Arabidopsis thaliana: one gene and its partner. The protein of the gene in region 1 interacts with the protein of each later gene in a pairwise test. Each region holds a gene or a part of one and is shown in the gene's direction. Other genes may lie near its edges.

What was found. The genes of interacting proteins can lie anywhere in the genome.
Region 2: the proteins of eEF-1Bb1 (region 1) and ARD3 interact in a two-hybrid assay, tested with the Arabidopsis thaliana proteins (one large-scale study listed by BioGRID).

The regions. Positions count from the first base shown.
Region 1 is NC_003070.9:10,635,217-10,642,564, forward strand, and holds eEF-1Bb1 (translation elongation factor EF1B/ribosomal protein S6 family protein), read left to right. Parts: upstream 1-3,697; 5' UTR 3,698-3,756; intron 3,757-4,043; 5' UTR 4,044-4,069; coding exon 4,070-4,152; intron 4,153-4,295; coding exon 4,296-4,412; intron 4,413-4,526; coding exon 4,527-4,620; intron 4,621-4,708; coding exon 4,709-4,832; intron 4,833-4,922; coding exon 4,923-5,202; intron 5,203-5,297; coding exon of another isoform or gene 5,298-5,299; exon of another isoform or gene 5,300-5,300; coding exon 5,301-5,385; 3' UTR 5,386-5,566; downstream 5,567-7,348. Other genes in the region: INT2 (inositol transporter 2), read right to left, coding at 85-223; AT1G30240 (proline-, glutamic acid/leucine-rich protein), read right to left, coding at 6,025-6,680, 6,769-7,012, 7,189-7,348. UniProt on the Arabidopsis thaliana protein: EF-1-beta and EF-1-delta stimulate the exchange of GDP bound to EF-1-alpha to GTP.
Region 2 is NC_003071.7:11,229,614-11,236,605, reverse strand, and holds ARD3 (acireductone dioxygenase 3), read left to right. Parts: upstream 1-3,244; 5' UTR 3,245-3,286; coding exon 3,287-3,349; intron 3,350-3,437; coding exon 3,438-3,549; intron 3,550-3,628; coding exon 3,629-3,723; intron 3,724-3,864; coding exon 3,865-3,979; intron 3,980-4,066; coding exon 4,067-4,191; intron 4,192-4,295; coding exon 4,296-4,484; coding exon of another isoform or gene 4,485-4,548; 3' UTR 4,549-4,836; downstream 4,837-6,992. Other genes in the region: Iqd4 (IQ-domain 4), read left to right, coding at 71-487, 590-814, 1,006-1,128, 1,206-1,955; AT2G26390 (Serine protease inhibitor (SERPIN) family protein), read left to right, coding at 6,115-6,495, 6,731-6,992. UniProt on the Arabidopsis thaliana protein: Catalyzes 2 different reactions between oxygen and the acireductone 1,2-dihydroxy-3-keto-5-methylthiopentene (DHK-MTPene) depending upon the metal bound in the active site.

The DNA.
Region 1 (7,348 bases):
TGTATATACACATACATATGTATATAACCCATCAAACATACATATATAACATATATGCATGAGTGGATAAATTAGAAAACTTACCGGTGTCGTAACCAAAGAGAAGACCACCGATTCCGGCAGAGAAAGCAAGACGAAGAACATAAGGATTCTTCCATGTTAGAGAGAAACATTCTTTGAAAGCTGATTCATCTGCTCCTCCATGTATTATTCCTCCCTCCATTTTTTTTTGGGTTAAAAGAGTTAGAAGTGTGTTTGTCGAATGAAACGGAACTACCAATATAAAGAGTGTGAGTTTCTCTGTTGTGTTGTTTTTTTTCTGGTGAGAAAATGATTAGTGGTGATGAATCAATGGAGAATTGAGATGCAACACGAAGGACACTTACTAGAAAAATCCAATGACTTTTCAAAAATAATTCTTCTATTACTTTTTTTTGGATAACTCATTACTATCTTTCTTTGTTTTTATTTACCTATATTTATTCTTCTACATTTATTTCTAGTGTATTTATTACCTTATGACAAATCTGAATATTGTTACTTTTGTTTTCTTACAAAAACATTATAATATCATAAAAACAAGTTTTTTTTTTGTTGGCTATTATACTCAATATATTAATGGATATTTTCTAAAATATCACACAAGAGTATGACAACATTAATTACGAAATTATATATAGTGACTACATACGTTACATGAAAGCATAGTTGACTAGAATTTTTCAAAATATATATACTAATATGGCATTTTAATGTTTTGTATCTTTTTGACACGTTTATTTTAAAATTTTGGATATACTAGCAGAGAACCAAACGTTATAGGGTTATTCAAATGAAATTATAGTAGTTTGTCCTTATATAGCTATTTTTTATGAAAACATTATTTCGTTACTTAATGTTAGTTGGACTGTTACTTGAAAAGAATCAATAGCAATTTTGATGAAAATGTAAAGATTTAGATCTACTTTTAATCGATAATTCGGATGAAACTATTATTAAATTAATAAAATGTTTTCTTATTGGTTTAAGAATTTTCTAAATTAAGTTCTTAATTACAAATTGGGTTTCTGCTTATGGTATAACACGATGATAGTTTAGCTATATACCTAATTAATTGTACGATCCACTACCAAAACTTTGGTGAAAGACCATTATCATTTGATCATTTTTATATAAGAAAAAAAAATATATGCTGGGATTGAATTGAAGTTGTATATATGATTAGTCAAACACTGGAGTCTGGATAGTATTTACAACTCGTGAATTTGGACTTATGCATTCTTTCTTTTTCCGTTTTAAAGAAAACTTTTTTTCATAATAATTAATCAGTTTTTTTTTTTTAGTTGTAGATATTTATAACCAAAAGAAATTATATAAATTCAATCATGCATGCTTTGAGAATTTAAAAATATGGAATAATGAATATTTCTTTAAAAGAGTATGTGACAGGAAGACTTCACAGATGAAAACTGTTAGAAGGTGATATCGTAGCTACCATTCTATCCATAATACAATAGATAAAATTTTGTCATATTTGAAATTCGACTAAATATTCATTAGTTATCATGTACCATGAGATTTAAAGAACAAATAATTATGAAATTAATCTGATTAAATGTATTATATTACTATATTAAATTATATATATGGTGGGTTCTTCTAACAAAAAGTTTAAAGTTATATATATATATATATATATGTATACATATACCATTAATTATTACATTTGTTGGTTTGTTATCCCTGCATTTGTCCTGATGTAGCACATGCAAGCTAATGCTATGCTATCGTTTTTTTTTTGTTGATCCAATATTCTACCTAAATCACAAATGATTGAAACAAAAAGTAATATGTTTTGGAACTCAAAGTTGATGTTACTGGCGAGCATACTTAGCGAACATGACACTTTTACAACTTTTAATATATTAGAATACGTGATACTTGTTAATGTCCCAATTGGATCATATGTGGACCGTCGTGGAGGATTTCTACACATGTACAAGATAGATATTTAGTGATCTTGGCATGGCGCACACAACGATTGTATGAGGTGAGACTAAGAGATTACAGTAGAATACTAGAGTTCGATTCGATCAATCTAATAATGTCGATTATATTTACCTTAAGAAAAATAAAAATCAGTCAGGATATTTGGAATGATCAGCCGATGAAGTTGATCACTCATCAAATTTTTAAAAAGGGCCAAAAGAATTCTCTATGTCTTTTGTGCTTCGATAAAATAACATGGATATAATTGTTTTAGGAAAGTTTACATTAAAAGTGTTATATAGACAGAAGTTTGAGGATATAATATAGTTCTGAAATTGAATTAAACCTGTATGTTCCGGAAAAAAAAAGTCTTCCTTTAAAATGATTATGAAAAGAAGCATTTGAACCAGAATGTTGGAACTCAATTGGAATCTGAAATCCTTTTTCTCAACAAGGAGGAATTTTAAAAGAAACCAAAGTACATCTTTGGCCAAACTATATCTTGTTACTTTTTTCCCCACAAAATTTATAGCTTTTTGTTTTTACAAAAAGAAGTGATAAGAATATAGAAAAGTTGAACAAATCTTTTTTACAACGACTAAAACATACATGCAACTTCTTAGACGTATCAGAATAGGTGTTAAGAAACTATATAAAAACATATGTATATCATAAGTGTATAGATTTTGTAAAGTGTTTTTTTTTCTTGGGTAAAGGTTTTGTAAATTTTAGTTTTTTTGTACGTGAATGTTATATTTATTTTATGTGATAAATAACTAATAATACTTTGAAAAAGATAACTAGTAAAATATATATTAAAGTGGTGTCTGTTTGTAAACATGAAAACTTGGTATGTATACTAGATTTTCTTGGCGTTATGCATGTGAGATCCAACAAATGGTCTCAACTCCATCTTTAGAAAATAGTAAGAACTTGATATTGCGATTTTTTTTTTTTTTTTGAATAAAATTTAAAATTTATTCGAGAAAACATGTTTACATCGGATGCATCGTTTGTGCCTATAAACTTTTAGATACAAGAATCAATAGAATATGTAGAGAACTTTATTATCTTGAACCGAACCAACAAGACATGCAGCCATTGTAGCGATATTGCGATTTTGCTTGGGTAGCTTGCCATTTTTGGTGATAATATAACTAATATCCACATATTAGATAGTTTCTTATACATTAAACAAATTGGGTGACCTATCATTTTCAAAATGAATTCAATTTATTATTTTGTTAGTAAATGACAATTTAAAAGAGAAAAACTGAAAAAAGTGACAACTAATCAGAGAGGAAAATTGATGAATTTTGTAAGATACATACACATCTAATCTTTCCATAAATCATTCTAAACTACCTTATTAATAATTCTATAGATTTTTTCTTGTTACCACTTTTTTTAACAGTTTTGATTTCTGAGTACAATGCTAATTTATTCCTAACTGACACTCTGGAAATTTGGGTCCATATACACTTCTCATGGTTCACTTAAACATGACTATCTTTCATTCATAGACAGAAGAATTATGAATTGTTTTCTTGATGCTCTATCGTGTAGATCTTAACCGGTTTATTGATTTTTTTTTGTAAAGCCCACCAAGATAAAAGAGAAGGCCTAACTGAGGAGATAATTGGGCCACATATAGGCCCACTAAAGAAAAACCTAGAAGCTTAAATAAGTACCTATGAGAACTCTGCGCCATCCTCTTCTGCCTCCTCCTTCACTCTTCATCTTCAAAGACTGCGCCTTTTAGCTCAGGTTTGTTCTTCGATTTCTCCCGTAAGATCTTTTGTTCTTACGCCTCCTATTAGGTTTGTTTCGATCTCAAAGTAGCCATGGTCATAATAGTATTTGATTGGAAATTCGAAGTTTGAGTATTTTGATCCCCATGATTAGGAACTCTTAAGTGATGTCTTAGTGAATCAATTTTCGATGTTGTTCTTTGCTTCTAATTGTGATCTGTCTTTTAGCAAAATAAAGTTTCGTTTTTGCTGAATCGTTGGGGTTTTAGTAGTTGATCTGATCTTGTCTGCTTTTTATATCAGTGAAAAAGGTTCGAGCTTCGGAAACTATGGCAGCATTCCCTAACCTTAACTCTGATGCTGGATTGAAGAAGCTCGACGAGCATCTTCTCACTCGCAGTTACATTACTGGGTAAGTTTCAATTTCTTAAATTTGTCTTTTTTTTCAAGTGTTGTCTCAATTAAGTTGTTAACATCTCTAATAGATTAGATCCTTAATCTCTACCTTTTTGAACAAAAAGAGTAATAATTAGTTTCCTTTGTGTATGCTTATAGATACCAGGCTTCAAAGGATGATATCACCGTCTTTGCAGCTCTTGCAAAGCCCCCAACTTCACAGTATGTGAACGCTTCTCGTTGGTACAATCACATTGATGCCCTCTTGAGGATCTCGTAAGCTTGATTACCTTCTATTGTTTTCCATTTACTAATGGATTAAAGTTTTTAGCTGTCTGGAATCTGGATTAATCTAATATTGTTTCGTTATAATCATGTTTCTATATACAGTGGTGTCTCTGCTGAAGGAAGCGGTGTCATTGTTGAGGGATCAGCTCCTATCACTGAGGAGGCTGTTGCTACTCCCCCTGCAGCTGATTCTAAGGTATGCTTGATCGTCTCTATGTTTTCTCATAATGTTTTTGTAAAGTTGTGCATTGGGGAGATTTCATATGAATGTGTGTGTTTTGTAGGATGCTGCGGCTGATGAAGAAGATGATGATGATGTTGACCTTTTCGGAGAGGAGACCGAAGAGGAAAAGAAAGCTGCTGAAGAGAGAGCAGCTTCTGTCAAGGCATCTACAAAGAAGAAGGAATGTAAGTTTGGGTTTTGTTCTACCCTTGTAATTTATATGAATGATATGAAGATGTCTTGGATTTCTCATTGTTTTTATTATTCTTCATTAGCTGGAAAGTCCTCAGTTTTGATTGATATCAAACCGTGGGATGATGAGACTGACATGAAGAAGCTTGAGGAAGCTGTGAAGTCCATTCAGATGGAAGGTTTGTTTTGGGGAGCATCAAAGCTTGTCCCAGTTGGTTATGGTATCAAGAAGTTGCAGATTTTGTGCACCATTGTTGACGACCTTGTCTCTATTGACACCATGATCGAAGAGCAACTCACTGTTGAACCGATCAATGAATATGTCCAGAGCTGTGACATTGTTGCCTTCAACAAGATATGTAAGTTTCATGAACCTATTCGTAATTCTTTTTAAGCTGTGATCTTTTGTTAGATAATGTGGTGTGTAACTGTCTATGTTGGATTGAATCATAATGCAGGAGGATGGAGAAAGCTTCAAGGAATGTCTGTGTTCATGTGGTCTGGTTCTTCTTCTTCTTCTATATTCAGTTTCCCAAGTTTTTGTAGACTGTTGTTTTGACTCTGTTATGGCCTGCCATCTCTGATCCATTTTGATATTTAATGAAAAGTGACAATTCAGTATTACGTTTTCTTTGTGTATGACCCATTCTCTGCTTCTTCCTTCCCCTCTGTTCATCGCTTGTATCTCTAGATATGTGTTTCTTAGTGAATCCTTAGCAATTTTCCCTTGTAGCTCTGCCGAATAAAGTTCAGGTTTTGAGCTAAAACTAGTAAACTAGCAAGTGAGGACTGATAAGGGTTTGTGATTTAGAGCAACTCAAGCTGATAAAATTTATACTTATGTATCCATTTTTAGCGTTATATATTTGTTAAACTTGTTTCTCAATCGAGTTAAGCACAAAGGTAAAGTAAGGAGTTGGTTAATCTCTTAGCCTTAGGAAGATCTAGATGGAAGAAATCAACTTCATATACCACGATCGTTATTTCGGTTCTGTGGCTGCTTTGGCTGCAATGTTAGTGAGTAATTGAAACTGGTGTACAATAGAAACAAAAACTCTCGGAAGGAATTAAACTCTCACATATTTGAAACATCTTACAAGTAAAAAAGAGGTATAATTGTATAATCAAAACTTTAACTTAGAAACAAAATTCTTCTAAGACGGTTGTGAACTCTTTTGTCTTGCATTACGATTCAATATCAGAATCAGAATCAGAAGAAGAGGAGAGAAAATCACCTTCCTGAAGACTAGGAATAGGATCATCATCAGATTCCCCTAAGGACTCTATCTTCTTACCAATTGATGCTTCCTCCATCAGACTGTCTTTAACCGCTAAATCCTCTCCCTCTTGAGTCCCACTCACCACTTCTTCATACCCATCTTTGGGAGCCGTAACATCTTTGTCTGTAACCGGTCCTAGAGATTCCTCAGGAACCTTCTCAGGCACATCAGCTTGTTGACCATTCTCTGATGCAACTATATCTGTATGATCTTGGACACTCAAAGACACGACAGTAGCTAAATCATTCCCAACTTTCAATCTGTTGCTCTCTTGGAGAGGTAAAGTCGTGTCTAAGGTTCTCTGAATCGCATTGTTAGAAGGAACATCCGCCTTTGCCTGCCATCTATTGCCTAGATCATCACCATCATGAGCAATAACATTCAACTTATTAAGATTAGGTGTGTTGTGTTTTTCGCTGCCAAAAGAATTGCTCTCTGGAAATCGGTTGCTAAGTGTCGGGAGGCCATCGAGTGGAAGTGCCCTCGGATGTATAACAACTTCAAGGGACATGAGAGCGTGAGCACAGAATCCAGCAACTTTCATTCCTGCCTGAAGTTTACCTGTTCAAAGCCGATATATAAGCATCAACTACTCTAGATCTCTGCGGTTTAAAGCTTAGTTTTAATTCATGCCAACAATCTTAGTTACCTGTTCTGAAAAGCTCAAGTCCTTCAGCTAAAAATGCAGGGCGTACTCGTGATGGAGAAACGAGAGATGCCGAAAAGGCACGGAGTGCTGCAAGCTGAAACTCAACTAGATCCGTCGTAGACTTATTGGGTAAACAATGGTAGGTTTCAGCATTGGCCCATCTCCCTTCACAGGCATTTGTTGCAGTGGTCAGAAGAAGATTATCAACAGACTCTCTCCAGCTATCCGATCCCAATGCACCACCCTGAAACCCAAAAGAAAAGAAGATATTTGATAACCTATCATATTGTTATAACATAATCACAAAGAAGAACTATGGTGATTATAAGTAGGATTCAAGTAACTAATAACTTTCTACTAAGTTTTCAACAGTGTCGACAAAAAGCTGAATTTTGATAGTAAAGAGTTAAAAGAGCTTACAATGGTGAGAAGTGTTTCCAGTGCCTCAAGAGATGCTATTTTCAATGAAATCGGGCTTCTCAAGTGATTGTGAGGGATTCTCAATTCAAAAACAGAATTTTCTGCCTCGACTCCTGAATGCTTCCTTTTTTTACTGCAAGCCTGAAGAAGAGCTCCATTA
Region 2 (6,992 bases), on another chromosome or scaffold:
AACCTGATTATGAAATCAAGATTGCTAATTGTTTTGATTTTGGTCTTTTGGTTTTGCCTTGTTTATCAAGAAACCCGAGAAACCGAAGAGGAAATGGTCGTTTGGGAAACAAAAGAGTAGAGAATCTTTTGATTTCCCTCTGGAGGAGACTCCACCGGTTGACCCTTCACCTTCTTCTGTTCATCGTCCATATCCACCGCCTCCCCCGTTGCCGGATTTTGCTCCTCAGCCGTTGTTACCACCACCGTCTCCACCTCCTCCTCCTCCGGCATATACCATCAATACAAGAATCTATGGTGAGTCTAAAGAATCAAAGAATAGACAAGCTTTAGCTCTTGCATCGGCTGTTGCAGCCGAAGCAGCTGTGGTAGCTGCACATGCTGCCGCGGAGGTTATACGTCTCACGACCCCATCAACACCTCAAATTGAGGAATCAAAGGAGGAAACTGCCGCAATCAAGATCCAAAATGCGTATAGATGTTACACGGTATACAAAAAAATCACTTTTTTTTTTTTGGACAAAATACAAAAAAAATCACTAATTCCTCTTATTATGAAAGACTTAGTCTAATATTTTGAAATTTCATAGGCGAGACGCACTCTTCGTGCGCTGCGAGGAATGGCTAGACTCAAAAGTTTGCTGCAAGGAAAATACGTCAAAAGACAAATGAATGCGATGCTTAGCTCAATGCAAACTCTTACACGTTTACAAACACAGATTCAAGAGAGGAGGAATCGGTTATCTGCAGAGAACAAAACTCGTCACAGGCTGATCCAACAGAAGGGTCACCAGAAAGAAAACCATCAGAATTTGGTAAATCTCGTTACATTTTTTGTTGAATGAATGTAAAATTTATTCAACCATGTTTACAATATATGCAACCGTTCATCTAAAAATATGACAAAATTTAAAAAGAGTCATCCCATTGTTATGTGGTAAAATCTCCCTACATTTTACCACACTGGGTGAACCAAAATTCTGAACTGGAGCATATTTTGTTGTAGGTTACCGCGGGAAATTTTGATTCCAGCAATAAATCAAAGGAACAGATCGTGGCAAGGTCGGTGAATCGAAAAGAAGCTTCAGTAAGACGAGAAAGGGCATTGGCGTATGCTTACAGTCATCAGGTAAATATAAATTAAAGACAACATCATTGTGAACTTAGTCATAGTTGTTTATATATTGATGTTGGAAAATAAAACAGCAAACATGGAGAAACTCTTCAAAACTTCCACATCAGACTTTGATGGACACAAACACAACAGATTGGGGTTGGAGTTGGCTTGAGAGGTGGATGGCTTCTCGTCCGTGGGATGCTGAATCCATTGACGATCAAGTTTCCGTTAAAAGTTCTCTTAAACGCGAAAACTCGATCAAGAGTTCTCCTGCCAGATCTAAAACACAAAAGTCAGCTAGCCAAAGTTCTATTCAATGGCCTGTAAACAATGATACAAAGAGTAGAAAGATCGAGGTTACTAATCGCAGGCACAGTATCGGTGGTGGATCATCTGAAAACGCTAAAGATGATGAAAGCGTTGGTAGCTCATCCTCGCGCAGAAATTCGTTGGATAATACACAAACTGTGAAATCCAAGGTTAGTGTGGAAACAACAAGCAACGTGAGTAATGCACAAACTGTGAAACCCAAGGCTAATGTGGGAGCAAAAAGAAACTTGGATAACACGAAAACTTTGAAATCCAAGTCTAGTGTGGGAACAACAGGAAACTTGGCCAACACGGAAGCTGTGAAATCTAAGGTTAATGTCGGAACAACAAGTATGCCAAAGAAGGAGGTTGTTGCTGATAAGAAGAAACCTCCACAGATGGTATTGCCAAAGAAGAGGCTTTCATCTTCTACTTCTCTTGGGAAAACAAAGAAATTGTCGGATTCGGATAAAGCAACAACTGGTGTTGCAAATGGAGAGAAGAAGAGAAGAAATGGTGGTAGCAGTTAACCTAAAGTAATAGCCTTATCTAGACCAAGATATTGCTTTGGTGGCGGTTTGATAGATTTAGCATCTCAAATGTGAGATTTGTTTTCTATCAACGCAAATAGAAAAGAGAAAGAAAAAACAAAAAAACAAAGAGTGTATTTTGAAGACCTTATTTTGATTGTTTTCTTTGGGTGAGTACAAATGATGTATGTCTGTTTCGGTTTGGTGTTTATCTGGTGGATTATTTGTTTACATTTTTTAAAAATTTAAACCATTTATTTCGCGTTAATGTTTGAAAATAGTCGTTGAAATCGATTCAAAATGACATATGCAATGGTTACAAAAAGTAAACGAGAGTCTACGTGAACTGGAGCTGGTTTGTGACAAAGTTTGTTATCAATTTAAGAGTTTGTTAAAACCAAAAAAAAAAAACAAGACATTGTATCGGGATTGTAAAAATTTGGATTGTGGAGCTCTCAATGAATATGTACAATTGAGTCTATTGCTGGATTACGTTCTGGCCGAGACATATCAATCAATCAGACAGGTTGCTATGAATTAGTAAACTTCATGTAGTGGATCATTCTTCCTCTTTCTCTGTAATTTGTCCGTAATAACATCATCAAACTCAAGTTTCTCAAAGTTAATTTTAATTCAATTAATAACTTCGAATATCACACATATATGATTCATGCCGTTAATATTTTTCTTAGCATGGTCTTACTGAAAATAAAATTTAAATATTACTATGAAAAATTATATAAATCACAAAACTAGTTTGGTTTTCTTTTGTGTAGAAAAGATTATCGGAAATAATTTCATGTTTATTTATTTATTTTTACATCAAAATTTTAAAATAGAAACACAATTTTCCATTAAAAAAATTCATAAGATTCCAATGAGCTTCCAAAGTAATTTTTTTGGAAGCCTATATAGTCTTAGATTTTGATAATATTTATGAAAAAAAAGCTAATTCTGAAGTACACTGAAACAAATAACAAATACATGACGCTTCCATTTTTATTTTTTTCTAACATGAAGCTTCCTTACACGTAGAAAGTTAAGTACATCGAAACAAATACCAAAGACCTGAGAAAGTGGATAGAAGTCTTATTATTAAGAACAATAATTGATAAGAACAAAGCATCTTATTATTTAACAAATGCAAATAGAGTAAATAGAAGTCGTGAGACTTCGTGACGTCATCACTTCTTCGTCATCTCCTTGACACTTCGTGACGTCCTTGTCTTCTCGATAAAGGTGCCTAAGAAATGGAAAGAGTGGTTTTGTGTTCTTACTTTACATTTTTGCACACAGAAAAATGCTAGCGGTTTCCTTTTTTATCTATATAAATGGTTTCTTTCTTTCTTCATTTTGAACACAAAAGAAGAATAACCATGGGTGAAGCCGCTAAGGTAATATAAACTCTTCCTTCTTGATTTAGGATCTATTCCCATTTACTTTAGAAGTGTTTTTGCTTAGCATCAGATTGATGTTTTCTAGGATCAAACTGAAGAAGTGATTCAAGCTTGGTACTTGGATAATAAGGAAGAGGATCAGAAACTTCCTCACCACAAGGATCCTAAGGAATTTGTATCTTTGGACAAACTTGCAGGTCTGTGTGTATCTTCATTGTTGCACATACTTTTATTCTTTCACGTAGGTTAATAATGTTTTTTTTTTTTTTTGTTCAGAGCTTGGAGTACTTTGCTGGAGACTTGATGCTGATAACTATGAAACCGATGAGGAATTGAAAAGGATCCGCGAATCTCGTGGTTACTCCTACATGGTTTGTGACATTTATTTGATGCCTTTTTTTAATATCTTCCTTTGTTTGGTCTTTTTTTTTAACAAAAAATAAATCTTCGTTTGTTAGTTGATTATTAAATATTCGTTTTTGATTCGCAAACATTTGGATGTTTGGTTTTAGGACTTATGTGAGGTGTGTCCAGAGAAGCTTCCAAACTATGAAGAAAAAGTAAAGATGTTTTTTGAAGAACATTTACATATTGATGAAGAGATCCGTTACTGCCTCGCAGGAAGTGGTAGGTACTTTTATTCGCTGCTTTAGTACTTAAATAAATTCGATATGGTGCTCATTTATTTTATTTTTTCTTAAAAACAAATCAAAGGATACTTTGATGTGAGGGATCTCAATGATATTTGGATTAGAGTATGGGTAAAGAAGGGAGGTTTGATAGTCTTCCCTGCTGGAATATATCATCGCTTCACCGTGGACTCGGACAACTATATGAAGGTTCAATCTTAGCTTCTTCTAGTTATTAATTCATACTATATGAAGGTTCAAGTAATATATTTTTGGTTGCTTAGAAAATTGGAATTTTCTTATATATTGAACAGGCAATGCGTCTTTTCGTGGGTGGACCAGTGTGGACTGCTTATAATCGCCCACATGACCATCTTCCTGCAAGGTACAATGATGTCTTGTTCTCCCATATTGTCACGACAAAGCTTACTAGATCTGTAGTTATATATCTAAGCAAAGAGGCGACAAAAGTGTTTATGTATATTCAAACGGCTATTTTATAGGAAAGCGTATATGAAAAAATTCTTGAAGGTGATTGGGGACCGTAACATAGACGCTTCAGCGTAAAGAACTCTCGGGGATCAGATTTCTATAAGCTAAACATATGTTTAGATGTTGTCTTTAATTATGCTTTATTATGTTTACAACATGGAAACCGAAGACATTTTGGTTCATGTGTCTTTTGGCATTATTGTTGTGATTGTAATGTAAAGAAGAAGGAAAATGACAATATATGAAAGCAAGAAAATATATAAAACTATCGGTCACTATTAGTCTCAACCTACTGGTGTCTATGCATAATACATGATATACATCCGTTACTGTAAATAAATAAAATGATTATTTGAATTGAACACATTACTTATGGAGTATCCATAATCTCATGTTTTTAGAATTTGTACCCAATGATAAATAAAATCAAACAAAAGAATTTCTAGTCTTTTGTTATATTCTTGCCTCTTGGTGACTAAGAAATCGATACATTTAACTAAAAAAAAAAAAGATAAAAAAGAAGAAGAAGAAATCGATACATGTACACATCAAGTATATGTCTTGTTATTTTCCAGTTCATGTTTACTCCCTCTGTTCCTAAAAAAATAATGTTTTGGGTTTTTCACACAAATTAAAAAATGTAACTTTAATATTATTTTTATTACTTTTCTATTAATCTAATAATATAAATTTTACTTCTCTTTTCTCTCTATTGGTTACTAATAAAAATAATAATAATATTAACCTACAACATCAAACTTGATGAAACAAAAATAAAACTCAAAACATCAAACTTTATAGAACAGAGGGAGTATAAGATTTGGCTGCTTCAGACATTCATCTCAACCTTTTTCTCTTTCTTTTCTTTTCTTTTCACATGCACGTTAGTATATATTGTGGTGTAAAGTGTAAACTTTCGCTAGGAAATCACGTTCTCTAGCAATGATTTGGTTTTAAAAACATTGTTTTCCCCCTCTAATAAGATTATTACTCTGTTTTTTTATTTTGTTTCTCTTTGATATAAGAGTCGGAATCCACCAATCCAATTGACAGACGGTTCCAAAATATACATGTAGGAGACACCAAAGCAAGAAAGATTTATGTTCAAATGAGCTAATTAACATAGAAATATATTTTAAACTGAAAAAGATAGCTCATTGGAGTTTTATTTAAGTGCTAGAAAGTAAAGAAAAAGGAAATTTACTTTAGAGAATAGCCAAGCTATGATAGATTCCTAGATTGAGATATAAAATGATGAAAAAGAGAGTTGTTCCAAATGGCAACTCCCAGAGTTATAAAATCGATTTGGAACAATTGGTTTATGCATATGCCTTATGGGTAAAAGGATGAAAAAGAGAGTTGTTCCAAGTAAATTGACCCATAAGGCATAAATTAACCAAACTTCAAGACCTAGTTTATAGTTAATGCCAAGTACTTCCAACGAAGTCCATGATACGACTTTTCCACACGCGGTACTTTATTACTTCTAAATCATTTCGATTGAATAATTCATGTGCAGAAAATATATTTAAAACAAAAAATAGCTACTAGTATACTTGAAACAAGCTATTTCATCAATCATCACATCTGCATATTCAGAACCATTCTTATATCTTCCCGTACACCTCTTCTTGGAAAAAAATGGAGTTAGGAAAATCAATTGAGAACCAAAACAACGTCGTGGCAAGACTAGCAAAGAAAGTCATTGAAACAGATGTCGCCAATGGCTCCAATGTTGTCTTTTCACCGATGTCAATCAACGTTTTGCTCAGCCTCATCGCCGCTGGTTCTAATCCCGTCACCAAAGAAGAAATCCTCTCATTCCTCATGTCACCGTCTACGGATCACCTTAACGCGGTCTTGGCCAAGATCGCGGACGGCGGCACCGAGAGAAGTGATTTGTGCTTATCTACGGCTCACGGTGTCTGGATCGACAAGTCTTCTTATTTGAAGCCTTCCTTTAAAGAGCTTTTGGAGAATTCCTACAAGGCTTCTTGTAGTCAAGTTGACTTCGCAACCAAGGTAACTTTTTTCGTTAGGGATAAATTTTGCTTCAATTATTATGGGACCGAAACTTAGACTAATCCCTATAACATAGATATATAAAGGTGAATGTTCGTGTTATTTAAGACGTTTAATGTGGTTACGAAGGAGACGGCTATATCACATTCTCTTTTTTTATTTCTTCAATTTCTTGTGTATATATGACATCCAACTTCACTAATGATTGGTCAATTTTTATCGCTTGGTCATGAAGCCTGTTGAAGTGATTGATGAGGTAAATATATGGGCTGACGTCCACACAAATGGACTCATCAAGCAGATTCTTTCACGCGATTGTACCGATACTATCAAGGAGATCCGTAATAGCACACTTATTCTAGCAAATGCAGTGTACTTCAAAGCAGCATGGAGTAGAAAATTTGATGCAAAACTAACAAAAGATAACGATTTTCATCTTCTTGACGGTAACACGGTAAAAGTCCCCTTCATGATGAGTTATAAGGACCAATATCTAA